Bombyx mori: one gene and its partner. The protein of the gene in region 1 purifies or fractionates together with the protein of each later gene. This does not show direct contact. Links are inferred from orthologs where the notes say so. Each region holds a gene or a part of one and is shown on either strand. Other genes may lie near its edges.

Region 1 (7,459 bases):
CAGGCCATAAACTGAGAAAAAATCACAGTAAAAAATACAATCTTCATCTCGAATATATTAAGTGTATAATCTATGATCTTCATTGTGTCAAAGTCAGTTGAGCACTCGTAGTGCTGTGTGATTATTGTTTTTAGTTGCTTTAAAAAAAGGACAACAAAATTTGTACCTGGTGTGCATCCAGTAATTACATAAATATGGAAGATAAATACGAGACTGTGCAGCTTTCGTACTCTATACACAAATGCTCGAGCCATTCCTCGGGCTATGTTCCAGAGTAAGTTTAAATTTTTCATTAAGACTAATTTGAGAAGGCTGATTCGGTATTTTCAAGTTTTTTTCCCACAATTTTTTTATAATAATATTGTGTTTTTGCGTCATATAAATCGTTCCTTACATTATACTATAAAATTGCAATGCATCATGAAAGCAAAATTTCGCGTGGTATTTTTAGTCCTACAGGTACGTCCGTTTATTTGCCTTCTTCTCGTGTTATTTTCATATTAAGCTTATCTGGCTCTAACAAACCATCTGTAACTGAATATTTCATAATCGTTATTCCAAATTAAAAGATAGGAAGTATGATTTTTCACTTTGTCAAAATATGTGGAACTACAAACACTATAAGATATTTTAAAATTATTGAAATTTTATATTTGTTACAGTACACATAAATGTCTGAGTAAAAAATGTGCAGTTATAAAATATAAAAAAAATATCATGATAGACATTGTAAAGTAAAATAAAAATTATGATTATTAGATACTTAACACACCATATCTATTTCGTTAATAATCCACACACAAGTTTTGTTTTAGAGGAAAAAAAGTCTTTAAATTAATAAAATACAGTTAAGCACTTACAGGATCTGACATCTGATCAGACATCAGATTGTAAATACCATTGTCCTTGAGATATCCTTTTTTAAGTTACAATCTTTTTGTGTACTAGGCATCTCAGTGTTTGGATCAGTAAACACAACTTTAGACCAGAAATAAGATTATGTTATACAACTGAGTTAGACCTCAAGTTGGGTGGTGGCATTCATATAGATATGTCTATGGGCTCATACCGGGAGGGCTGTGAGATTGTTCACCTATTTAACCAATAAAAAAGTATGCAGAATAGTGATCTACTTGTGAATTTTACATTAAGCATTTCTTAAAAAATATATATATAAGTATATATATTGTATAATTACTGGTGGTGGAAGCAGTAATGTGTTTCTATTTTCAAGGGTGGAGCAACCATTGCAATTTTATAACTAAAACCTTAAAATTCATGTCTCAAGGTGGGTGGCTGCATTTATGTTGTTGATGTTTATGGGTTCTAGTAATTTCTTAACACAAAATGGGCCGTGAGTGCGTCAACTCATCTCAGAAACAAATAAAAAGACCGAATTAAAAAAAACCGTAATAATATCTTACAGGAAAAATCTGTCACGGATCATTTCCCAATTAAATATAAATTAATCTTAAGCAATCAATCAAATGTAATCAAATCTTTTTTTATTTTTTATATTTTTGTAGTTAATGAACTGTCAATTGTACCTATAATTGAGGTGACATCTGTTATGAACTTTTGTCAATTGTTCAATGTTTTGTATTGATGATCACTTTGTTGATGCAATTTAATAAATAAATAAAATAAATATTGATACACTTAATTATATTTGTTCCAATAAAAACTTTTACAATCTTGGGCTTCATCTCTGCCCAGTTTTAAATTGAATAATCAGAAAGAATTGTTTTAACAAAACATAGCTGTACACAGTGCACACTTTATACACACATACATTAACATCAATTATTATATTGTCATTTGGAGGACGTTTACAAATTTACTGATTTATTTGTCTGCCTTTGGATGATGCAAGAATGCATTGAATTGTGTACGTTAGATATGTTCAATTTTTTATGCAAATGAAATAATCAATTATACAGCTTTATAACTTTTATTATATTAATTGAACAAAGATTGTTGGTTGACTTAAGTTGAGGGAGTCACATACTAATTAAAACTAATTATAATTCAATATTTTGTAGTCTCATGGTCAGGGTCATTGTATGTAAAGTATTCAAAATGACTGAAATAATAAAATGAAAAATAATAAAAACGAGTTTAAACCTCATAAGTAGGTAGCTTTAATTATGTTGAGAGAACAGAATAAAGTACCAAGTCACATTCTGTATTGAATATACAGTTATTTTGTAGCACACAATTGTCTCAAGATGAGTGATGACACTTGTCATGAGCCTTCTCAACTTCTCAATAGATGGGCCAGATGCTCACCTTGCTATCATCTGAGCGATATTATCATACCGTATCTAAGCATCTAAGTAATAACAGAACTAAAAATCAAACCAACATAAATTGTAATAATAGTTATTGCGATAAAAACCTCAAGTCTAAAGATGGTGGCGTTTGAATTATGTTGCTTGTGGGCTCAAGTAACCACTCAACATTTAGCTAATCAATCGGGGAAATCTGCCACTTTGTGCTAAGCAATCTATTTTCTGTTATTATTGTGTAGCATGATCTGGATCTGGTGTTTAACAATTATTGATGAACTATATTCTAGAAGGCACATTATTGAACAATTTAGTATTGAAAGTCACACCAAAACTCACTTACAGAAAATAATAGTTATTTACTTCAAATCTGAATATTCCATAAACAATATGAAAAAGTTTTAAGCAAAATTAATTTGTGAAGAATTAATAAGAAATAAATGAGCATTTCAGGAATTCAGTACTACGTACCTAACACATGAATGGCTGTATTGATGAAGGAATAACATTGTGTAATAACATTCATACCTTCAAGAATTGTAATATGCATAGTTAATGGACACTTAAGAAATATACCTTAAGTCTTAAGGCAATATTCACTTTGTGATAATGTAATCACTTAATACCCGTAGATTCTTGAGCTGGTTCAACTGTAGATACAATAAAACTTCTTTGTTTAATAGTACTACTCAAATAGTTAGGTAGAATGATTAGAAGTTGCTGAATGGAGCAGAAGTAATCTAATGTAGCAGTTAAGGTATCGAGCTGCCCATACATCTTATAAAATTCAAATTTTTCTTTTTCAGGAACATCATAGTGAATCAACCATCAGATCCATTGTCAAGGTGGTTCACAGACTGCTGCGTTTCACCACAATTCATAGTTATAAAACTGGACTCTCCCTCTATAGTTGAAACAATCAAATTCGGAAAATATATCAAGGCACTCGTTAGTGATCTCAAAAAGTTTCAGGTCTATGGTGGAACAGAAGATAGCAATATGTCTCTGCTGTTGACTGCGTGAGTTGTTGGCTTGTTTGTATAGGATAATAAGCTATTTTCATTTTGTAATAATTAATTAAGCAAGACTAAGTAATTTGTTGTAAATTGGACTTGACGTATATACAGTTATAATAACACAAACACTTTCAGGCATATTGAGAAAACACTTTCTAACGTTTTATATCTTGATGGTTTTTTTCACAAGTGAGTCGTCTATTATCAAAGGTGGCAATCTGTGCATTTGGACAAAAAAATGTTATTGATATGTCAATACAGATTGATTTGAATATAATTGTCTCCTTCAAAGAATACGGTTCAAAACCTGCATTAAATAAAGATTAATACTTAACCTGTTATTTATCTAAGATGTCGTTCAGAAGAGTTTTGTGACTGCCAATGGAATACAAAGTCAATAATTCGTTTTTCTGATTTACCAGTAATTGTCCAAAAGTCACATTGCCGGCTTTGATATTAGTCGACTCAAGTATAAGTTAGCAATTGTAATAATATATAATAATAATAATAATAAGCCTCAAGCTGTCAAGACTATAATGAACAAGGATCCACATAACCAAGATTGCTCTGTCAAGAGCAACTGACTATGATGAAGCTGGTTAACTTGTGGTGTAACAATTTGCGCTCATAGCAATTCTCAATATTTACTGAATGGAATTTTCATCCTGAGTCTTTGAGTGAATGCTGTTTGCACCAGGCTTATTATTGGGCTATGCTCCCGTTATTTGATCTCCATTTGAAATACTCTGAAACATACATAACGGCCGTCTGGTGTAGTGGTAAGTGACATGGTCACTGCACAAGGGGGTCGCGGGTTCGAATCCCGCCAAGGGAAGATATTTGTATGATAAATATAAATGTCTTTCCAGGGTTATGGGTGTATATAAAGTATATGTATGTGTATAATAAAAATCTTACATTTATTTCCGTTAGCTGGTACCTGTAACACAAGTTCTTTACGAACTTATCACGGGACCAGTTAACGTGGCGTGATTGTTAATAAATATTTATATTTATTTATTTATTTATACTAGAAATGAAATTTGTAATTATTCACAGTGGCTTGAAGAAAGACAGTACACCGGAAACATTCAGATTGAGGCACAGGACACAGGAAGGATTTTACTTCCCTGTTGAATACCTAAAGATTGTCCCACTACAGTCGTGGGGCCCTCCCTACAATTATACCATATGGTACATAGAGTTACATGGCAAAAATCAGGCAGAACTTCTCAATGAGGCACTGGAGACAATTTATTTGGTAGGTTTATAATTTTTTTTAACGTGTTTTAAAAATGCGTTAACTTGCCATTTGAAATGAACACATATTGTATATCATAATTTACAGCGTAAAGAAGAAGAAGCAGTGCGATTGTTACTAAAACACTTGAGGCGGAGACGCTACAAGGATGCTTTCGAAGCTTTGTCTAGAGAAAGCGGAGTGCAGCTCGAAGGGCCAACACAGACTAAACTCTGGAACGCTTTAGTCGAGAATGGTGACTATCAGGCGGCCGAGAAAATTTTCGAACAAGCCGTTAATGGTGAGATATGAAATTCATAATTTAAAAAAAAACAAAATCAAAAAGTTTTTATTCACCTAGGCCTTCGAGGGCTTTTAAAATGTTGTGCAAGAAACTCTAGAGTTATCTGACTTTAAATAAATGTCCAAAGATGTATGTATAAATATCGGAACATTGTTGAAAAGTCCAGATTATTATAATAAGAACCCAACTCGAAAAACTAGGCCTGGTTTATCAAGTACTAAACAATGTTCTGTCCGTCTTGTTACTATATATTAGGGAAAGTAAAGTAATTAGGACATCGCCTAAAAAAAAAGTATAAGTGATTCGTTGTACACGCATCGTCCAGGCAATACTGTTGTTAAATTAATGTACATTAAGGTCTTCACAGATAATTAAAAACATTGTTACTCTATACCTCTGTTCTCTGTGCCTTTATCAATGCCCCGTCTAGCTGAATCGGAAGAAAATAGTCCTTTTCTTTCATTCCGTTTGAAAAGGAAGTTGTGGCGAAACCTTTAGTTCCGTCACGCGCATGCGCCGCTAAAAAATTCAGGGAGGCCATGACCCCCGCCATAAGTAAACAGATTGTACATCTATACATATTATAAATAAAATTGGAGTGTCTGTTTGTAATATTGAAATAACCGCTTTTTATATATGCGGTACGGTACATACACCAAAATAGCATTCTTTACAATTGTTGTCTGTCTGTCTATCTGTCAGTTTGTTCCGGCTAATCTCTGGAATGGCTGGATCGATTTCGACGAGACTTTCACTGATAGGTAGCTGATGATATAAGGAGTAACTTAGGCTACATGACATAGAACATTTTATTATTTTATTTAGAGCCGCTTTTATATAAGCATTCTAAAAAGTAAAGAAAAAAAAACATGTGTGCAATTCACACGTGGTAGAAGTGAAACCTTCCAAAATTAAAATACAATTATCCTAAACGTCTTAAGTATATGTAAAATTTTGTCATTAGTAAATAACTGTAAGGTAGCGCCCTCTGTGAATTGATATTTTAATTTCACGTATAATCCTAAATTAAAATTCACTACAAGAGCATACACACGTTAGTATTAAAAAATCTCACAGATGGCGCTGTATTAAATAGTATGTATATTTCTGTCTCATTCTTTGCTGGCTTCATCCTACACATTTTTGTATTTGTGTCTCTTACCTGTCGTTTTTTCCGTTGCATCCGGTTTGAAATCACAACGATTCTAAAGAAGTTTTCACTTCAATAAAAATATTCGTGTCGTCGGTGCAGATGGCGAGTTAGAGTGGTACATGTCGTGGCAGCCGTACCGGCCGGAGTGGCGCGAGATGTCGGCGTGCTCGGCGCAGGTGGAGGAGCGGCTGCGCAGCGGGGACGCGCACGTGGCCGGGCCCCCCGCCGCCCCGCACGACTTGTTGTGCGCCGACCGCGAGCCCAGGCCCGACGCCGCCGTAAGTCGCGCTACTTGACTCGCCCTCAACTTATCTTATACCTTTAAACGAGCAATTCTTGTATATATATGTATATACAGTCAAACCTGCGTAAGTGAGAAAACTCTATGAGTGAGAGTAATAGCCAGGACCCGTCATTTTAAGCTCCCAAAACCTCTATTAGCGAGAAACAGAATCCTCTGTAAGAGAGAGTCGTTTTTCTCTCATGGACCTCCGTAAGTGAGACTGCTACTTATCTATACCTCTATAAGCGACAGTCGAACTTTATTTATTTATATTATTTAGGAGGAACAAATGACAAAACAAATTACAAATTTAACATCTGCTATTTTATGACCCATTCTTAGCTTTCGTGGAACTTCTTAACATTGTTTTTGTATTGTTTTCTCGTCAATATTGAACCTATTCTATTTCGTGGAACTAAATTACATTGTTATTTTATCGTATTCTTTTCGAATGGACACGTATGCTGCCTATGTACCGTCCTGTTTGTCGGACTTAGTCACTTTATCGTTAATCAATTGCGAAGGAAAGTTCTGTTCTGCATCATGTCAAAACGGAAAATTAATGTACTGTCATTAAGTGATAAACTTAAAATAGTGAATGCGTTTGAATCCGGAAAATCGCGAAATGAAATTAAGAGGGTGCATTAGCGAAGAAACTCGGGTTAGTGAGAAACCTCTATAAGCGAGAATGAGATTGTGCTCCCTTGAACTCTCGCTTATCCAGGTTTAACTGTATATATAATCTGAATCGGAGACGGTTGGAGCCTTCTCCGAGATTTTCCGATTTTCATAAATAAATAATAATAATAAATAAATAATTTATTTTTAATTTTTTAGCTAAATTTTCTATAAAAGCCTATTTTTAAAACTTAAGTACTTTAACATCAATTCCTGCCTTATCGACTATAGATATAAATTATATAAATTAGCAAAAATCTTATTTTGCAAATTGAATAATGGAATAATCTTATCAAATTAGTGTATTGTCATCGGTCCTCGATAAATTTACAAAGTTTGAAGGAAATCTGGCCGTTTAAAGTGGGTCAAAATCGTGTCTAAAGGCGTCAGTGTGTTTGTAACATACATACAAGTGAAGCTAATATAAAGCGTGTAAAAAAAATCGTTTCTTGAATTGTCGACACCAGGGTGCAGCACCAGTAAGCAACGAGCTGTTC
Region 2 (7,559 bases), on another chromosome or scaffold:
CCTCACCTGACGGTGAGTGATTACCATCGCCCATGGACTTCAGCAATGCCAGGGGCAGAGCCAAGCCGCTGCCTACCATTGAGTATTCTCCACAAGCCTCGTTTGAAGAAGGACAAGTCATAGCGCTCAGAAAACACTGTGGAGGGAAGCTTATTCCAAAGTGAGACTAAAAGGGGTCTTGCAGCCCCAAGTTATTACTAACTTCTGCGGGAACTGTCTGCAAACTCTCTAATCGCTCACCTCATTTCGTTCTAATACCTATACTAAGCACAGAGGACCACCATGGTCATTACTCTGTCATATCTATTAGCCACAATAATTAGAGTTCTACTGAGATTTACATTTTATGTTTCAAGATGAAAAACTGCACAATTGTAGTTTTTAGGTTCCGATAACCACTTGACTAGGAGGAACATGATGCCAGTCCATGTATGAACAATTTCTTTTTATTTAAATCAATATTTTGTATGACTTATACGAGTAAGCACATGTAATTAAATTTAATTCTGTCATAGAATACTATTCGTGCTCTGCCCAGCTAATAAACAGAAAAATCTCACCACTAACATAAACTTCACCACTACACCGTCATTTCTCATAAATAGATGATAAGCTAATACATTAAAGGTTCACTCATTGTCCAGAGGATTTTAAACAATCTGACTTTTTAATGAAAATATGTTGCTCTATATTGTTAATTTAATAATTACATATAATTAGTATAACTAATATGTACATAAGTGACAGTTTTGCCCTAGTATATACACACACACCAATCATGATATTGTCATTGGCCAATATTTGCCCTTTTACAATCTATATTGACACACAATCCACTAAAGTATGGAGGATACAATATATTAGAGACAGTAAAATTAGGTCGGCTCCTGTTTATCTTTAAAGGACCCTGCTTATTTAATGAGTATCAAGACTACAATACAATAATTAACTTAATTTGATTTAAATGAATGAAATGAAAATGAATAATTCAGTTAGATAAACCAACACAAAACAAATTACCACATTACTGTTCGACTTGAAGAAGTTTAATTTTCTCTTGATTATTTTTGCGATTAAGAAGACCTAGAAGTCTGGGTAAATATATCCAGAAATATAAATCAATTAAATTATTCATTCCTTAAACTGTATTTACTTAATCATATGAAACATTTAAAAAAAGATTTCTGTTTTAAGTTTTATTTCTAAAGGCTATGAAAAGTTCACATAATATTAAAACACAATGTATATTTAGGGATAGTTAAGATCCAAATCCAAACTTTCATCGATTTGCAATAGCAAAGTTAAATGAGTGACTAATCATTCCGAAGAACATTTTAGTGTTTTAGAAAATAAAAGTTGTAGAAGTAGTATCTTTCATCAGTATCAATATCTTGAGTGCTGTTATTCTAAATAATTTTCAAATTTTTTGTAAGAGAAATTCATATTTTCTTTTTAGTTAAAATAACTTTATATTGCTTTCCGCCAGTTTAGTTGTGTACTTGATTTAATATTAGTGATTTAAATATTTTAGTTGTGTTACCTCAAAAGTATTTTTATAATAGCAAAATTTGCAAATAGACACTCGGTTCATGTTTAAAAGTTTTGTTATTTTGTAGCATCGTAAACAATATTTCGGCCAATCTCACCTCGTGACATTTAATTGTACAAATTCCAGAGTTATCAGCTCACACACATCACAACCTCACAATTGTCACAAGTTTATTGAAACCGAACTAAATGCTTGATTCTCATTTTAACGACTATTAGTGTTAAGTAATATGAGTCTAAATTCTAGGTAGAGTTTTCTAGAATAGCCGAATCACGATCAACACGTTCTCGTGCGAGCAAGAGATGACGCGTCGGCGTCGCCGCGGGAATGTCGTCGGTCCTCATCGCCACGGCGAGGCAATCACCGCGCACCGATACTATCCGCTTCGACGCTACTTTCAACTTAGCAATTTCGTCAAAGTCAACATAAATAACACTTCGAGTTTATACCTCGCATCACCAAAATTTAAGTCGTTTAGAAAATTAACTTACCGTAAATAAGCGAAATCCAACAACAAAGACCAGCCACGCGCTCCTATTACAGGACACTCACAAATCACGAATGCACAAGGTATATGAGTAAACTAAAATCACAAAATCGTCAATTTTATGAACAGCCGGCTTGCTGAGTCAGTTAGAAGAAAGTTCTTCAGTTTATCGTAGGTAAATTCACTAAACGAAGAAACTAAGCCGCGAAGCACCGCCAGCTACATACAAAATGGCGGATTTGCGTAACGAAAGTGACGCGCTGACGCGCCGATGCTGACAAATAATGGTAGAGTCAGTTAATATTTGTCTATGACAAGTAATTTGACGGCTTTGTTGTAGTCGATTTTGCTTAAAACCGATTTCGTCGCCTTCAGTAAAATTTAACTTTTAAATCTACACAAACACAAAAATATATTTGATTTTTTTACAGAAATAACTATTACAAATTACCCTATCGTTAAAATTCAATATAGATATAAAACTATAAACATATTTGATATTTTTAACAATCAATCAATTCAATTTTGGACACAAACAACGTCGTTTGAATTCGTCGCTTGGCTTAAACCATAACCAATCACCATCAGGTGGGCCATATGCTCGTCTACCTACAACGGCAACAAAAAAAATAAAAAAAGTTAGGATTGGACGAATGATTCATTAAGTTTCCACTAACTTGCGGGGGAAGTTCAAAACGTACAAGTCAAATACCTTTAGCTGTGCGTTGGAATCTGGCCTTCCGGCTTCTATCTTCCTTCTTACTTCTTGTATCCTCACCGCTGAGGGTCATGACTTTTGTGGAGTAGTTTCTGATGGGTTACTTTTTAGCACACTGCAATAAGTCTCCGGTGGAAGAGTGGATAAACATCGGACTAGTTTTATTTCAAATAATTGTAAGTAGTAATAACACGTAGTAACAAATAGTAATATTAACATATTGGGTACACAATCCAACATTTTGTTATTATCTTAACGTTAAAATAGAAGAATAATTAACACGGACGGAATATATTATGCAGTTACCTTATACAAATAGTTTTTTTCAGCATTAGTATGTTAATTTCTGAATCTTGTTCCATATTATTAAAATATCTGTGACAAGCATGTATAAATCATAGATAGCCAAAATTATGATGGGATATACTCGGGTCCTTCCTAAAAGTCAGAGTACTGAAATCCAGCTTATTATTTCATTTCATCTCATGTCATTACATTTTATTTGATTTCATTCAATTTCCTTTTGGTATTGCCGATAGTTCAACTTTTTCATTCCGCTCCTTTTCATTTTTCGAATTAAAAATGTAGGTATGTGAATCATAAAAATTGAAGAACTAAACTCGATACTGGCAGCAATGACATCTTAAAAAAACCGTCTGCCATACTGAAAAAAATAAGAATGTATTGTCTTTGGTTTGCGTTCTGAAATAAAGAAGACTTGAGAAATTTTCTTCATTAAAAGCTGTTTCTGGGGAAGAAATTACAATTATTGGGCAAATTATACATATATTAAGATAAAGAGATACTGGAGGAGATTGCGAAAACAGTTGTTTTAATCTTTAAATGGAAGAGTTTTAGAGGAAAGAAAACAACTGTTGAACTCAGCAGGCAACTATTTTTGAACTTGAAAATCAATCCTTCATCTCTGTGAAATCGCTTGCAAATGACAGAGACAAAATACAAATTTAGCTTGCTCAACTCGCTGGCTGATGAACCACAGGAACATTTGTTTGTCAAAAGAAAAAGATACCCACAACGCAAGGAGTTGATTAAAGGCTCGAATTCAATGAATTAGAGTTAGTATTATTTATTCGGATTTTACGCTTAATGAACTATCATGAAATCAGATTTCAAGTGAAATTATTTGTTTTTGAAAAGTTTCCATTACATTGCGGAATTAATTATATTGCAAGTATTCATTACGTCGTGGTTTTGCGTCCATTTACAAATATTAAGTCAGCTGAGTTTTGTTTTTATTTATATAGGTCATAATTTTGCAATCATCAGCCCGCTCAGACGAATATCGTTTTCAAAATGAATGAGATCAAATCTATGGAGCATGCGACATTGAAGGTAAGTTTAAAATTGTCTATAAAAATGACATCAGCCCTTTTTCTACATGATGGATCGAAACAGATCGATTTAAAAGCCTCGAATATTCGAGTATAAAAAATATGGCAAAAAACTATTCTTAAATTACGAAACTCCAATATTTTTTTATATATTACAAATTAAGTTTATCACAAAAAGGACTTGATATTGCAATATCAAGCATAATTAAGCATTGTATTGATGGTAGGGCATATTGTAAGCTCGCAAGTATAGGTAGCACATATAATTTCTAAAAACAATAAACCATCAAAACTAAAAACTAAACCAACTAAAAGCTAAAAACTAACCAACTAAAAGCTAAAAACTAACCAACTAAAAGCTAAAAACTAATTAAAACTAACTGTAAAAATAAACCAACTGCACAGTTTAAAACGCCATTAATTTATTTTTGGTATATAGGAAGTATAAGCAAATAAGGAAATGAGTATAGCATATATTTAGAATAATTTAGATGATATAAAATGACCGAGAACATGATGTAGAAAATTAATATTGTGAACAAATGTTGTAACAATGGCATAAGCATCTCAGATGAAGTCATTGACTGCTTGGTGAGGTCTGATAATAATGCTTAAATAGATATTTATTTTTGCAATAAAAACAGGTTAGCTTACTTGCAAACTTTTCTAAACAGGTGTTTGGATCATTTCTTCCATCAAAGAATTTTTTTTTATTTTATAGTTTCTACATTTTACAATGTATATAATAATATAATACAATACAATATAATAATAACAGTAATATTTAGTAATTAATTCACATGCTAAATATATTACCATTTTAAATTAGACAAATTGACAAATTTTAGCAGCTATGTAGTGATTACCAGAAAAAATTTAATTATAATAAACAAAGTGAAACTAATGTAGGCAACATAATTATGTCATAGATACTACTAGGACTAGTAGTCATTATCATCATCATCTAGGACTAGTGGTGCTACTAGTAGTAGATGGTGAGTTTTTGGTTGTAGAGGTGAAGTCCCGCAATTAGACCAGTGATGGTAAACATGCCTACTGAATTTTGGCAATGAATGGATGCTTCTTTAGTAACTTGTAATAGTCTTCTCAGCGTTCTTACATCCATTGATATGGGGGCGTTTTTCCTCACCCAAGCAAACGGCTTTCTTGCTTAAATGTAAATACAATAAATCAAATTTGGAATTGATTTTGAACATTTGAATTATAACATTTGCTTAAAAATCTGTTCAAGGACTCTCTGTCATGGAAATGTGAACAGAAGTGTAAACTACAATTTATTATTTTAATCACAGTTTGCAGCTTAAGAATTATGTAACAAAACTATGTATGTATGTATGTACATCAACAATATATATTATAGTATGTATTGTAACTATAATATTGAACTCTTACTATTTACTTAATAATTAAAATCATATCATATCATATCTTTTGAAAGGGCTTGTATTTTTTGTCATAGACTATAAAATGAATCTCATAATAATGAAAGATAATTAGTTATTACTTAAATAGGTACTTAAATATGATAGGTAAGCAATAGGTAAATATAATATTATTAGAATTATTGTTTTTTGAAAACATTACTGATGAATCAGAATTGTAAAATATTCTGTTGCTTTTTAAAACTATATTTGAGTTAGAGAGCTTCTATAAAAGTCCATTGTAACATCTGCCACATAGTCATGATCAAATCTAAATATTTCGCTTGTATTATCACAGAGCTGTAAAAATGTGATTTGAATTTCACCATCGTTTACAGCAACCTTATCAATAACACTCATATTTTTACTCAACAATTTCATTGAACAAAGGATGATTGCAAGTTATTTTATAGATGTTGTCAGTGTCAAAGAATTATTGAATAGGTAGGTAATAGGCAGTAGGCAGAGGCCTGGCTCTGCCCCTGGCATTGCTGAGGTCTATTAGCGACGGTAACCACTCACCATCAGGTGGGCCGTATGCTCGTCTGCCTACAAGGGCAACAAAAAAATAATAATGTACTGCCTATTTACATTTTGAAAAGAAAAGTTTCTATGGGCATTCCAGAAGCTTGTGTGCATGGATCTGCACTGTCATACATATTTCTGCCACAGTTCAACTGTTCTTAAATGTAGAGTAATTCCTGGTATTGTCATGTTTATGAGCTCATAGGCATGTTATATAATAAATGAGGCTCTATCATCATCTTTTCACTGAATTTGAAGGAAAGTTTTATAAGCAACATGTTTATCTTACAACATTGCCTAGGTAGCCCTAAATTTCACATTGCTTTACAGATTTTTTCGTTTTCATTCTTCGGGATGGACGAGAATTCAAGTGAAGAGTATAAGCTCTTAAATAGGAAATAGTTATGTGGTCCCTACTCATGTGGGCAGACATCTTACCACCAGTAAATTCTATAATATTATTGCTATAATGTATGCCATGTTAGTAAATGTATGCATAATATAGTATGTGGTAAAGTAATAATGAACAAAAAATAAACTAAACATATATTATGTTCTCAGATATATAGAATTAACACAATTAAATCACTGTTCAGTTATACTTGATGATTTTTTAGTTACTTAAGTTTTTGTTCTAATAGATCTTTAAAGACTCGATAGAGTTATGATTAATAGAACTTTTTTTTTTTTAATTTAGTATAGATTTTCTGAAATTTGTTACTCGAATGGAATTGTAAAATTTTGGTATTAATAGTTTTACAATGTATAAAATAAATAAAATTATTAATAATGCTGTCAACTATTGCAATGTCATTTGTACAATTGAGGGGATCTTAATATGAACCTTCTTTTCTATTCACCTATATTCTGAATTAGTGCTCACTATGTTGTTATAGCTAATTAAATAAATAAATAAATGAAGACTTTTCAATTGAAGATAAGTTTTCACTTTCGGTACGCTGCTTCATTACAAACATAATATATAACGTGTTACAAAATACCCCGTAAAAAATATGATTAATTATCAAAGCCTATAATTTTGTCAACCCTAGTAAGCAGTAATTTAACAGAAAGGCCTACGTACCTATTTTACGTAATAATTGTCTACTTTGATAGTTTTTCTATTTTTCATTCATAAATGTTTGCTACTTCAATACAAGGATGTCATTATAGTCAAGTAGGTACTTGTCGTCCTTGTCAAAACTTTTGTTGTTCCGCGAATTAGGTAGAAATGTAGGTACATTCTGCGTTGCTTACCTACTCTTTAATTTTATTGAAATAGGATTTTCACATGAGTGCAAATAATAATATTTATTTTATTGTTATACAGCATTACTACGGCTGTTAAATATTGTGAACTAGCGACCCGCCCTCGCTTCACTTCGGAAACTGTAATTTATTATTGATTTCTCAACTATTTAATGGATGTTATTATACATATAAACCTTCCGCTTCAATCACTTTATCTATTAAAAAAAACCGGATC

What was found.
Region 2: the proteins of muskelin (region 1) and E3 ubiquitin-protein transferase MAEA purify together in Homo sapiens (affinity purification with western blotting; 3 studies listed by BioGRID and IntAct, with this or other methods). This does not show direct contact. The link is inferred for Bombyx mori from reciprocal best matches to the Homo sapiens genes MKLN1 and MAEA.

The regions. Positions count from the first base shown.
Region 1 is NC_085125.1:2,155,398-2,162,856, reverse strand, and holds part of muskelin, read left to right. Parts: exon of another isoform or gene 1-134; 5' UTR 135-194; coding exon 195-274; intron 275-3,094; coding exon 3,095-3,307; intron 3,308-4,363; coding exon 4,364-4,565; intron 4,566-4,652; coding exon 4,653-4,845; intron 4,846-6,100; coding exon 6,101-6,279; intron 6,280-7,429; coding exon 7,430-7,459. UniProt on the Homo sapiens protein: Component of the CTLH E3 ubiquitin-protein ligase complex that selectively accepts ubiquitin from UBE2H and mediates ubiquitination and subsequent proteasomal degradation of the transcription factor HBP1.
Region 2 is NC_085132.1:9,957,375-9,964,933, reverse strand, and holds the start of E3 ubiquitin-protein transferase MAEA, read left to right. Parts: upstream 1-3,476; 5' UTR 3,477-3,942; intron 3,943-4,019; 5' UTR 4,020-4,068; coding exon 4,069-4,107; intron 4,108-7,559.